Linked DNA regions of Caenorhabditis elegans. The protein of the gene in region 1 purifies or fractionates together with the protein of each later gene. This does not show direct contact. Each region holds a gene or a part of one and is shown on either strand. Other genes may lie near its edges.

The links.
Region 2: the proteins of cogc-1 (region 1) and cogc-5 fractionate together in Caenorhabditis elegans (co-fractionation; one large-scale study listed by BioGRID). This does not show direct contact.

The regions. Positions count from the first base shown.
Region 1 is NC_003279.8:3,231,509-3,236,542, forward strand, and holds the start of cogc-1 (Conserved oligomeric Golgi complex subunit 1), read left to right. Parts: upstream 1-1,882; coding exon 1,883-1,950; intron 1,951-2,860; coding exon 2,861-3,025; intron 3,026-3,739; coding exon 3,740-3,819; intron 3,820-3,999; coding exon 4,000-4,085; intron 4,086-5,034. Other genes in the region: txl-1 (Thioredoxin-like protein), read left to right, coding at 103-601, 1,473-1,577.
Region 2 is NC_003279.8:4,247,712-4,253,765, forward strand, and holds cogc-5 (Conserved oligomeric Golgi complex subunit 5), read left to right. Parts: upstream 1-1,781; 5' UTR 1,782-1,787; coding exon 1,788-1,861; intron 1,862-2,330; coding exon 2,331-3,466; intron 3,467-3,780; coding exon 3,781-4,183; intron 4,184-4,937; coding exon 4,938-5,130; intron 5,131-5,196; coding exon 5,197-5,361; 3' UTR 5,362-5,459; downstream 5,460-6,054. Other genes in the region: tufm-2 (protein-synthesizing GTPase), read left to right, coding at 50-266, 313-855, 990-1,549; C43E11.12 (Transcription factor TFIIIC triple barrel domain-containing protein), read left to right, coding at 5,531-5,860, 5,909-6,054.

The DNA.
Region 1 (5,034 bases):
ATAACTACATCAATACTTATTGATAAATTCATTATTAGAAAATATCCGAAAAAAATATCCGCCCACCTCAGAAACTCTACTCCCCAAAATAAAAATTTGCAGAGTCCGCGTGGAACAAATGAAAGGAGCCGATGCAAAAGCACTGGAAACAATGGTGAAAAAGTACGCAGACAACTCGGCAGCCGACTCACTGGTTGCTGGTCAAATGGACTTGACACCTCTTGTCGATAAGAAACAAATGGAATGTTTGAATGAATCTGATGATACTCCACTGGGACGTTTTCTCGAAGGAAACTGCAATCTGGTTTCAGATTGTGATGAGCAATTGATCATCTCACTTCCATTTAATCAACCAGTCAAAGTTCATTCAATTCTTATTAAAGGAGTATCGGATCGTGCTCCAAAGAAGGTCAAAGTGTTCATTAATCTTCCGAAAACTACGGATTTCGATAATGCAACAGCTCTGGAGCCAACTCAAATGTTGGAATTTGATGAATCTTCTATTCAAGGGCACGGACAAGTCGTCGCGTTGAAATATGTCAAGTTCCAGAATGTTCAGAATATTCAATTTTTCATTGAGAATAATGTCGGTGGAGGAGATGTAAGTTTCGATAAAAATTACTTTGAAAACATTTAAATTTACTAAAATTTTACCCAAAACTATTGATTATGCTTTTATTTATTTATTTAATAAACGTATTAAATAAATAAAGAAAGATAATTAAAGATTTTCAGTAAAATCACGAAAACTCGCTTTATTAATGAACGAATTTCGTGAAGAAACTTCTCAGACATTATTGAAAAAAAAAAATTGAAATTTAGCTAAAATTAGCAAATTTTTTTTCGAAATTTTAAACCGCCATTTAAAAAATATTGAAAAATTGTTTTTAATATAAAATGTATTCCGGCGAAATTTCGGATTTTAACAATATTTTGGTTTTTTTTCCGATATTATTTTAGTTTTTGAGCTGCAAAACAATTTTTCGGATTTTTTTTGGAAGTCTCATTATGAAAATCGCCGATTTTCTGTAAATATTAATTTTCGGAAAACTGCCGATTTGCCAATTTGCCAGAAATTTTTAAATCTGACAATTTGCCGATTCGTCGTAAATTTTCATTTTCGGCAAATTGCCGATTTGCCGGAAATTTTTAGAGGGATTATTTATAAGACGGAAAAACTTAAAACTATGCCTTTTTGAAATTTTTTCCCCATTTTCTTTAGATATTTTCATAGAATTTGCCTACTTTTCAAAATAAATGTAGAAATATTCATAGGATGCGTACAATTTTGCCGATTGAAATTTAAATTCTGAAATTTCCAAAAAAAAAAATTTGCAAAACCGCAATTTGCCGTTTTTCCGGCAAATTCGACATTTGCCAATTTGCCGGAAAAATCGTTTGCCGCCCACCCCTGGTTCAGAGCAAAATTATTATAATTTTCCAATTTCCTCCAATTTTTTCCTTTTTTCCAGGTCACTGAGCTCGTCAAGCTTACAGTCTTCGGAACACCTCTGTCTGCTCTCAACATGAACGAATTCAAAAGAGTCGCCGGAAAAGCTGGAGATGCAGCTCATTGAGCCCATCAATCCTTCTTCCTATCAACTGATTGTGAGCCAACGAGTTATCCAATTCATTTCTCTAATTGTCATGTACCAAAAACCATACTTTCGCTGATCCCAGTTTCCATATTTTCCTTATTTATTTCTCGATTTGTGTATCATTTTTATTTTAATTTTAATTTTAAATTTAAATTTATTTTTTTTTCTCAGCATAAACACATTTCTCCAAGCTATCCTATTCAATTTTTAACTCGAAAAATGTTTCATTTCATCTAGATATTTCTAATTTAATTTAAAAAAAAGAAAAAATCTGAAATTTTCAGATGGACGTTGACCGGCTCATGCGTGACCTATCGGTCGAGCAACTGGAGAATATTCAGCAGAATTTGGAGTAAGAGAAGCGGGAATTCGAGAAAATTCGAAACAAAAGCTTCTCCTCGTGGAGTACACGAGGGCTGCGTAAATCGACACGTGGATGTGTTGAAGAAATTTTTGTAAAATGAGGAATCGGAAAAATTTGCTGAAAAAAATTAATTTTTTAAAACAAAAATTAATTGAAAATTAGAAATTTTTAATGTTTTCTGGTGAAAATTGGCTGAAAAAGTATTTTTTTTTCTCACAAAATTTTATTTAAAAAATAGAAATTTCAATTTTTTTCGCGAGAAAAATATTTGCAAATTGAAATTTCAAAAAGTTCAGAAAAATCAACAATTTCCAAAAAAAAAGTGATAATTTTCAATAAAGGGCTATAATCTTCGAAAAAGCTAAGAAAAAAGCAAAACTAAGAAATTTTAATGTTTTCTCGGGAAAATTGGCTGAAAATAAGATTTTTCGGGATTTTTTAAACAGAGTGTTATTTAAAAAATAGAAAATTCAATTTTTTCATGAGAAACAATTTTTTTTTAAATTTTCACATCAAAATTTCAAAATATTCATTTAAAATTGAAGTGCAAAAAGCGTATAATGTTTCCAAAAAAAGGTATTATTTCCAAAAAAAAAATCAAAATCGCTGATTTTCAGAAACTAATTTTTTATAAAGTCGAAAAATCGGTAAATTCCAAAAAAAAAACACGATAATCTCCAAAAAAATCCTTAGTTTTCAAAAAAAACAGTGATAATTTCCAATAAAATGCTATAATTTTCAAAAAAAAAACGATAGGTTTCAGAAAATTCAATAATATATTGAGAAAGTCAAAAAATCGTAAAAATTCCACAATTTCCAGCAAAGAAAGCTATAAGTTTAAAAAAACGATAATTTTCAGAAAAATCGATAATTTTCGAAAAAAAAACATTTTTTTCAGAAAAGAAATGGAAGGAAAACGAGAAAGTCTCCGTGAAATGGTCGGCCGTCGGTATCGAGATGTTCTAGAAGCTTCTTCAGAAGTTCGTCACGTGTGCTCTTTGGCTGATAAATTGGCCTCAGATATTGCAAATACAAGAGTTGGATATCAATCCACTCATGTTAGGTTGGAAATATTTCGCAAAATTTGAGTAAAAACTCGGAAAAAATACGGCAAAAAATTCTATTCAAAAAATTGGAAAAAATTGAATTTTTCCAAATTTTTAAAATGGTTTTTTTGAGAAAATTTCGCAAAAAAAACTAATTAGGAAAATTTAATTTAATTTTTCATTTTCAGACATTTTACCCCGAAAAAAATTGCTGAGACCCTAAAATTTGTCTAAAAATCGATTTTCTAGCAAAAAATTAGACTTTTGCGGAAAATATTTAATGCTAAATTATCGATTTTCAGACAAATTTTAAATTTTCAGCCGTTTTTTTAACAGAAAAAAAATGACTGAAAACACGAAAAATATGTTTAAAAGCAAATAATAATAATAATAATAATAAATTAATAAAAACCAATAAATATAGCCGAAAAAACGCTCAAATGCCGAAATTAGATTGCGCGGGAATTCAAAAACCATTAATAAACAAAATTCTTCAATTCCAGAATTATTTTCAATTTTAAGATCCGAAAATCGTTAGAAAAATATATATTCTACTTCGAAAAAAAAAATCAAAAGTTATAAATCAAAAACTCAATTTATTCGGATTTGTTTTCAAATTTTTAACCTAGATAAATTCAAATATTTATCACATTTTTGCACGGTTTTCCAAACAATTCTGTAAATTTCAGAGCAAAAAATTTGAAAAAAAAAATAAAATTTTGAATTTCCAGAACCGGAGGACGAGAGGAACAGAAAGCGGGAGAACATCTCTATGCGGTGAACTATTTGGTTTCAAGTATTGGAGGAGATAGTATGGGCTTTTTTTTTTGAAATTAAAAATTGATTTCAACTTAATTAATTCAAAAATGTCAGCGAATTTTAGCGATTTTTACTGAAAAAATTTTTAAAATCATGAAAATTGAGTAGTTTTACCCGTAAAACAAATTGAAATGCTATCAAATTTCATTTTTAAAAAATGTATTTTTTCCAGGCGGTGAGCCACTGGACGATGTAGTTGCTCTTTGCATGGTGGAGCATCTTCAGAAGCAGCTCATCAGTAATCATTCGTCGCCAATGGTCAGTTTAAATAAATATTGTTGGTAGCTGCGCTAAAAAATTGGATTTTGAAATTTTCGAAAAAAAAAACAATTTAAAAAAATCTTAAAATTAATTTTGGTCAGATTTTTTCTAGATATTTTTGACAGTAAATTGTTGAACAATTGGGAGAAATTTCAGGTTTTTCGAGGAGAACCGAAAAATGGAAATTTATTTTTTTTAACTTAAAAAATAAATTTTTTTCCCGATTTTTTGAAGAAATTCATATGTTTTTGTACTTTATTTTAATAGAAATGAGCACGATTTGATGAAAAATCTAGGGCTTCCATCCCGGCGCCTTCGCCGGCCGGTGAGGCGCCTCAAACAGCCTCACGTCGCCACTATCGCCGTCATTGAAAAAAAAACGTAAAATTTTATTTTCATTTCTTGTTTTTTTTCTAAAATTTCAACAAATTATTAAAAATGAAAATATAGAATTCACGTCAAAATTTTTTAAAGCGGCGAAGGCGAAAGCCGGCCGGCGTGATGCCGGCGTGAGGCGCCGACGCCGCGCCGCTCTCACATGGAAGCCTTAGAAAAATCGAAAAAATATTTCATTTTTTCGATATTTTTCAACTAAAATCGAAACATCCGAAAAGAATTTATCAGAAAATTAACTATAAAATTCGATTTTTTATCTCATTTTGTTTATATTATTGAGAAAAAACTTCCAAAAAGAAGAAAGTGATCACAATTTTAAGCTGATTTTTGACAAATCGAAAAAAATCGAAAAACGAACATTTTTTGCTTTCCAGAAATCGAAAAATCGAAGAAATATTGTTTTTCAATTTTATTTGTCAAAAAATCGAAAAACTGACACCTTTACATACAAGTTTACATACAAGTTTACATACTTTACATACATACAGGCATTTTTCGATTTTTTCGCGTTTTTCGCGTTTTCCGCTTTTTCGGTGTTTTTCATGCAAAA
Region 2 (6,054 bases), 1.0 Mb from region 1:
GTTATAACCGATTTTATTATAACATGAATTTCTCGGTGTTATAGGTAAAATGAACCCCGCTGCTTTGTCGGCATTCACACGATCTCTACTATTCAATCGATGCTCAACATCTTCATTTTGTAATTCAATCACACGAAATGCCGTCGCTTTCTTTGCCACTGCAGCTGCTACGCCAAAAATCAATGTAAATGTGGGAACTATTGGACACATCGATCACGGGAAAACAACTCTAACATCAGCAATCACAAGAGTTCAGGCTAAAAAAGGTTTAATTAATTTTTATATTATTCACAAATGAATTCAATTCTGCAGGTTTTGCGAAGCATATTAAATTTGACGAAATCGATAAGGGAAAAGAAGAAAAGAAACGTGGAATTACAATCAATGTCGCTCATATCGGCTATGAAAGTCCTCTGCGTCGATATTCCCACACTGATTGCCCCGGTCACTCGGATTTCATCAAAAATATGATTTGCGGAACTTCACAAATGGACGTGGCTGTTCTTGTGATTGCTGCAACCGACGGAGTCATGGAGCAAACCAAAGAACATTTGATTCTAGCCAAGCAAGTTGGTGTTAAAAATATGGCGATTTTCATCAATAAAGCGGATTTGGTTGAAGAAGATGATCTGGATTTGGTAGAAATGGAAGCACGGGAATTGTTGAGTCTGCATGGCTTTAATGGAGATGCGACTCCAGTTATTCGAGGTTCCGCTTTAAGTGCTCTAGAAGGACAAGATATTTCGTGTATCGAGAGATTGATTGATGCATTGGATTCACTTCCAGAGCCGGATAGAAATGAAAAGGATACTTTTGTAATGCCAATTGCATCGAAAACTGCTATCACTGGGCGAGGTAATTGAAAAAAGAAATATAAGGTGTGCCAATCAAGAATTTATTTTGCAAGAAAAAGTGCAAGAAATTTCAATAAATGACATTTTTTGCCACCCCTAATATTTAAAAAAAAACCAATTTAAAATGTTTTTCAGGAACAGTCATCGTCGGTACACTGGAAAGAGGTGTCTTGAAAAAAGGCGATAAAGTTGAAATCAAAGGAGACGGGCAAACTCTTCAAACGACTGCTTCGGATATCCAAGTTTTTGGCAAAAGTGTGAAGGAAGTTCGTGCTGGAGATCATTGTGGAGTTCTGTGTAGAGGAGTTAAAGGGGATACAGTGAAGAGAGGAATGTGGGCAGGACATCCAGGAGCAGTAACAATTACGAATCGAGTGAAAGTGGAACTTTATCTTCTCTCGGAGGCTGAAAATGGCAGGAAGATCGGAATTCGGACTGGTTTCACAGACAAAATGTACTGCAGTACTTGGGATCAAGTTGGTCGTTTCGATATGAGCAATGAGCTTCTGATGCCAGGAGAACATACTTCTGCTACAGTACTCTTGATGAAAGACATGCCACTCAGAAAAGGAATGCCGTTTACATTGAGAGAAGGAAGCAGTAAAACAACGATCGCTAGAGGAATCATCTCAGATCTAGAGGATCATGTGGCTGTAGAGAAACATAATCTTAAAAAGTCCGCTGAAAAGATGTAGTTCTTTATATATTACAGTATTGATTTATTTTAGGTTAGATTTTATTAGCTTGTTAACTACTATATCTTGTTTTGTTTTTGTTTTCTTTTGTCGAAATCTTCGAATAATATTTCACTACTTTTATTGTTCAAATAATACCATTCTCCTATTAATAGCAGTTTTACCTGATCTGCTCATTAATATCTTTATTTTTAATTTTCGTATTAAATAATAATTTATTTTTTAATTCCAGTTTAAAATGTCGGGGAGAGTCGACGAACAGCTCGACGACTTCCTCTGGGGAAAAACTGATGTTAAGGATTACTTGAAAAAGTAAGTCGCCAAATTTTGTGGATTTGGGTCTCGACACGACAATTTTTGTTTAATGAAAAATGGTACGCGCCTTTAAAGAGTACTGTAGCGTCGATTCTTCATAGTTTTTTGCAAAAAGTATATTCATTTATTTATTTTTTAAAAACTAAAATAGAACAACATAAACTTTAACAAATCGTAAGAAAAACTATGAAAAATCGATAAAAACTTCGCAGCATCGAAAGTTTTAAATTACAGTATTCTTTAAAGGCGCACACTTTGTCGAAAGATGGAGTACCGCCAGTAGAGAAATTTTTAAAAAACATAACTGTAGTGTTACATTATATTAATAAAAAATCAAATCAAAAATGTTTGCAAAAGTTGTTATTTCAATTGACTTGAAATTTCAAGTAATAAAAACTTTTTTGGAAGTCGTCGATCAAAAAAATTATCTTCAAGTTTTTTTCTAAGTATATGTACAAATTTTCAGGGTAGCAGAATGTGACTCATCCGTAGCTGAATCATTGAATCGAAAAGTCGCTGGACTCCATGATACCCTCGACAAACAGCTTCGTAAAGGAGTCGAAACTAATCTTCCACGACTACTGGAGCAAGTGCCAGCTCTTCAATCACTTGAAGATACTCTACATTCAGTTCAAATGCGAATGACATCAGTGACCAAAGAATCAAATCGACTCGCCACGGTTTGTGATGATCTTACCACGAAGCTTCGCGAACAAACTCGCCAACTCGAAGCAACGATGCTCAAAAGAAACATGGCTTCAGATGCCCAAAGATGTGAAGAACTTTTTGAATCTCTTGAGAAACGAAGTGATTTGGTGAAGAAGGCGGAGATCACATCGGAGATTAAGGAGATACTCAATGATAATAAAAATTTGCGAAAAATTGGATGGTTGAAGAATATGGTGGATACCAAGTTGAAAGTGGCTGAAAATGAAGTTCGACGCAGTGGAGCGGAGGAGTTGAAACGAGGTTTAGCGTCATTGAATAGCTCGATGGTTGTATCTGCTCAAAGAGCTCTTCGAACTTTGAATTATTTGGATTCAGAACTTGAAGTTTTGCTGTCCTCCTCTGTTGTCGATCTGGATAAGAAATTAATGGAATTATCAAACAGCTCTCCAGAAGTTGCTAATAAAAGTCTCCCTGTAGTCGCTGCAACAATTCAATCACATCTCGAACAAGCGGCTATGCTGGGTGAAGTCTATAAGAAGAAATTCTCTGAAAAGTTGGCTCGACTGATTCGTAGCAGAGTTCCACTCGATACTCCATACGCTTTGCGGTTTGTACAGCAATTGGGTAGAGTATTCAATTCAAAGGGAGATAGTTCACCCGCTTTGAACGATTCTTTACGTCCACTCAAGAACTCTCTCCTGACTCATTCACTGGCTCGTTTGCACAAACTCGTTGAAGAAAATGACTTCTCTACAGCTCATGCCAATGCATTTGTCGATCTTATCAATTCTGCAATGGAAGAAGAACATCGAAAAGTCGACTGGGACGCGGAGTTGAGCCAGAAAATGAGCAATAATATTGAGAAATGCATTGAGATTATTGCAAAGAAATTGGAAGCCAATCTTCATTTACAAAGAGATGATTTACTCCTAGGTGAGCTGTGAAATTAATACTTTTTTTTGTTGATTTTTTTTATCAAAAACAAAAAAAAATTCCGAAAACCCGAGAAAACGATGACGATATTTTCGGCGATTCGATAAAACTTTCTGAAAAAGTCCTGTTTTTTTATTCGAAAATTTTTCCAAATTTATAAAACTTTCAAAACATTTTTTTTTGAGACTTCTCTAAATTTTCATTCTTCAAAAATTGAGTTTTTATTATGATATTCGAGCTTTTTTGAGTGTACAAAACAAATATTTATTTTCCATACTCCACATTTAAATGACCAAATAAAAAAACATTTTCAGGAGACCGATTGACTGCAAATCAAATGACAAACTATCGTCTCATTCAAACCGCTGATGGTATCACAAAACGTTGGCCAGCAGAATCGAAAAGTGTGACAGCGATTCAAAAAGAAACTCTTGATGCGATCGTCATAGAAGTCAAAAACTCGATTCGCGCGATTGTTGCAAGAATGCACGTTGAAACACGCGGAATGACAAAATCCGTGGCTCCGTACATGCAAGAATTGCTCACCTACATTAATCATATCGACATGCACATGGCTCACGTTTCACGAGCAGTTTGTCATTCTCACGTACTCTCACAAATTGCCGAATATGTCATTGACTCATTTATTCTAAATGCCACATTAGTCAGATCACATGCTTCTGATGAACGTCAACTCATTGTCATTGACTTTTCAAGGTAATAGGGTGCTTAAACTGAAAATGTTAAAAATTTTTCAAAAAAAATTTTTAAAAAACGTTTTCTTGCAAAAAATTACACTCGAAATAGAAAAAAAAACAATTTTGATCAAAACATGTAAATTTTTCTAAATAATTTTTCAAACCTCAAAAAATTTATTGTTTTTCTCATTTGTCGTCTTCTAAAAAATTTCCAAAAAAATATATGATTTTTAAAATATCGAAAATGTTTTTTTAGAAGAAAAAAACCTCTTTAGTCATTTTTATCATCAAAACCATTTTTTTTTGATAAATCTATAGTTTTATCGTATTTTCCTATTTTCTGTGGAAATAAAACCGAAAAATCGAACAATTTTATTAAGATATCCTAGAAAAAAAAATTTAAGAAAAAATTTTGAAATAGCAAAAAAAAAGAACAACAAAAAAACCTGATTTTCCCTGTGGTTAGCAATTTTTATATTATTTTAAATTTATTTTCCAAGTTGTCGGTTAGACATTTTAAATTTAAACTCAAAACGGCGCGCTGAATCACAAAAGTGTTAACTTTTTCTGTTTTTACATCGGTTATGATTCAGCGCTTTACATCTTTGCCGCCATTTTGTATTTAAATTTATTTATTTAACTTGTCTAACTGAAAACTTATCAAAAATGTTTAAGTTTTAACCGAATTCAGAGGATATCAAAACAAAAGAAATACGTTTTCAAACCTTTTATTAAATTATTCAATAATTTCGTCAGAAAAATTACTTTTTCAGATTACTCGAAGCCGTTCGTTCAATGGAATGGCCTTCCAAATATGGTGACACTACTCGACTTTTGGATCTTTTCGGAAGCGATGTTGATGTGATGCTCAGAGTTGAAGGTGTCAAAAAGTCGATTTTAATCCAGCTACTAGTATCCGATAGCCCTTCAGAACTTCCACTTCCTAATCAATCTGTAAAATGGACGGTTCGTAGTTTTCCACAATACTATGAATACTCTAAATATGAAATATTTATATGTTTCAATTTTCAGCCCGAAGAATATGTAAAGTGGTACGAAGAGCACACTGAGCTGGAAGTTCTCGCATTCCTCAACGGACTTGTGTCTTCGTACAATAGTTCTGTCATCTCACGTGGTCAACAACACTATGTCGATCATTATCCTCGTATTGTGAAGCTTCTTCAAAATGCTTTCTAACCTAAAGGACACTCGGAGAATTTAACAACGCATGGGTTTATGTATTTATGATTGTGATAATATTTATTTATTTGGGTGGAATAAAAGTGTATTCGTTTATTCCTACAATTTCCATTTGTTCAGTCTCCACGGTTCTCAGCCATTCTTCATATTTCTATTCTGAATTGTTATGTGTTTTTTTCCAATTTTTTCTTTCCAGAAATATATTGTAGAATTCAAAATGTCGCCCATCAAACGAGAACCAGAAGAAGCATGCCTGAAGCCAATGCGATTTGAACAAGAAATACCCGAAAGGGTAGATGAGCCGGAAGAGATGGAAGTTCAACCAGAAGAAATAGAGGAAGAAGTAGAAGAAGACGAAGGTGATGATGATGAATGGGAAGATGTAACGATGGTGGTCACTGTCAATGGAATTCTCGACGCGGATCTTGTTAGAGATGCCGTCGAGAGAGATTTGATCAAATTGCGGTACGCTGAAACGGATGCACCAGTTTTACAGGTAAAATGGAAATATACAAACTCAAAAGTAAAATTTTATGAATTTCAGATCAACAACTCACTATACACGGCATCCTGGGAGCAAGATCTCGGAACAAATATGGTTCTGCAGTCAAAAGGAAAAGAGATGGAAGTGATTTCGTGTACATCGACCATGATGACTGCAGAAAAAGCCCTGTTGACCTCGTTAAGCAC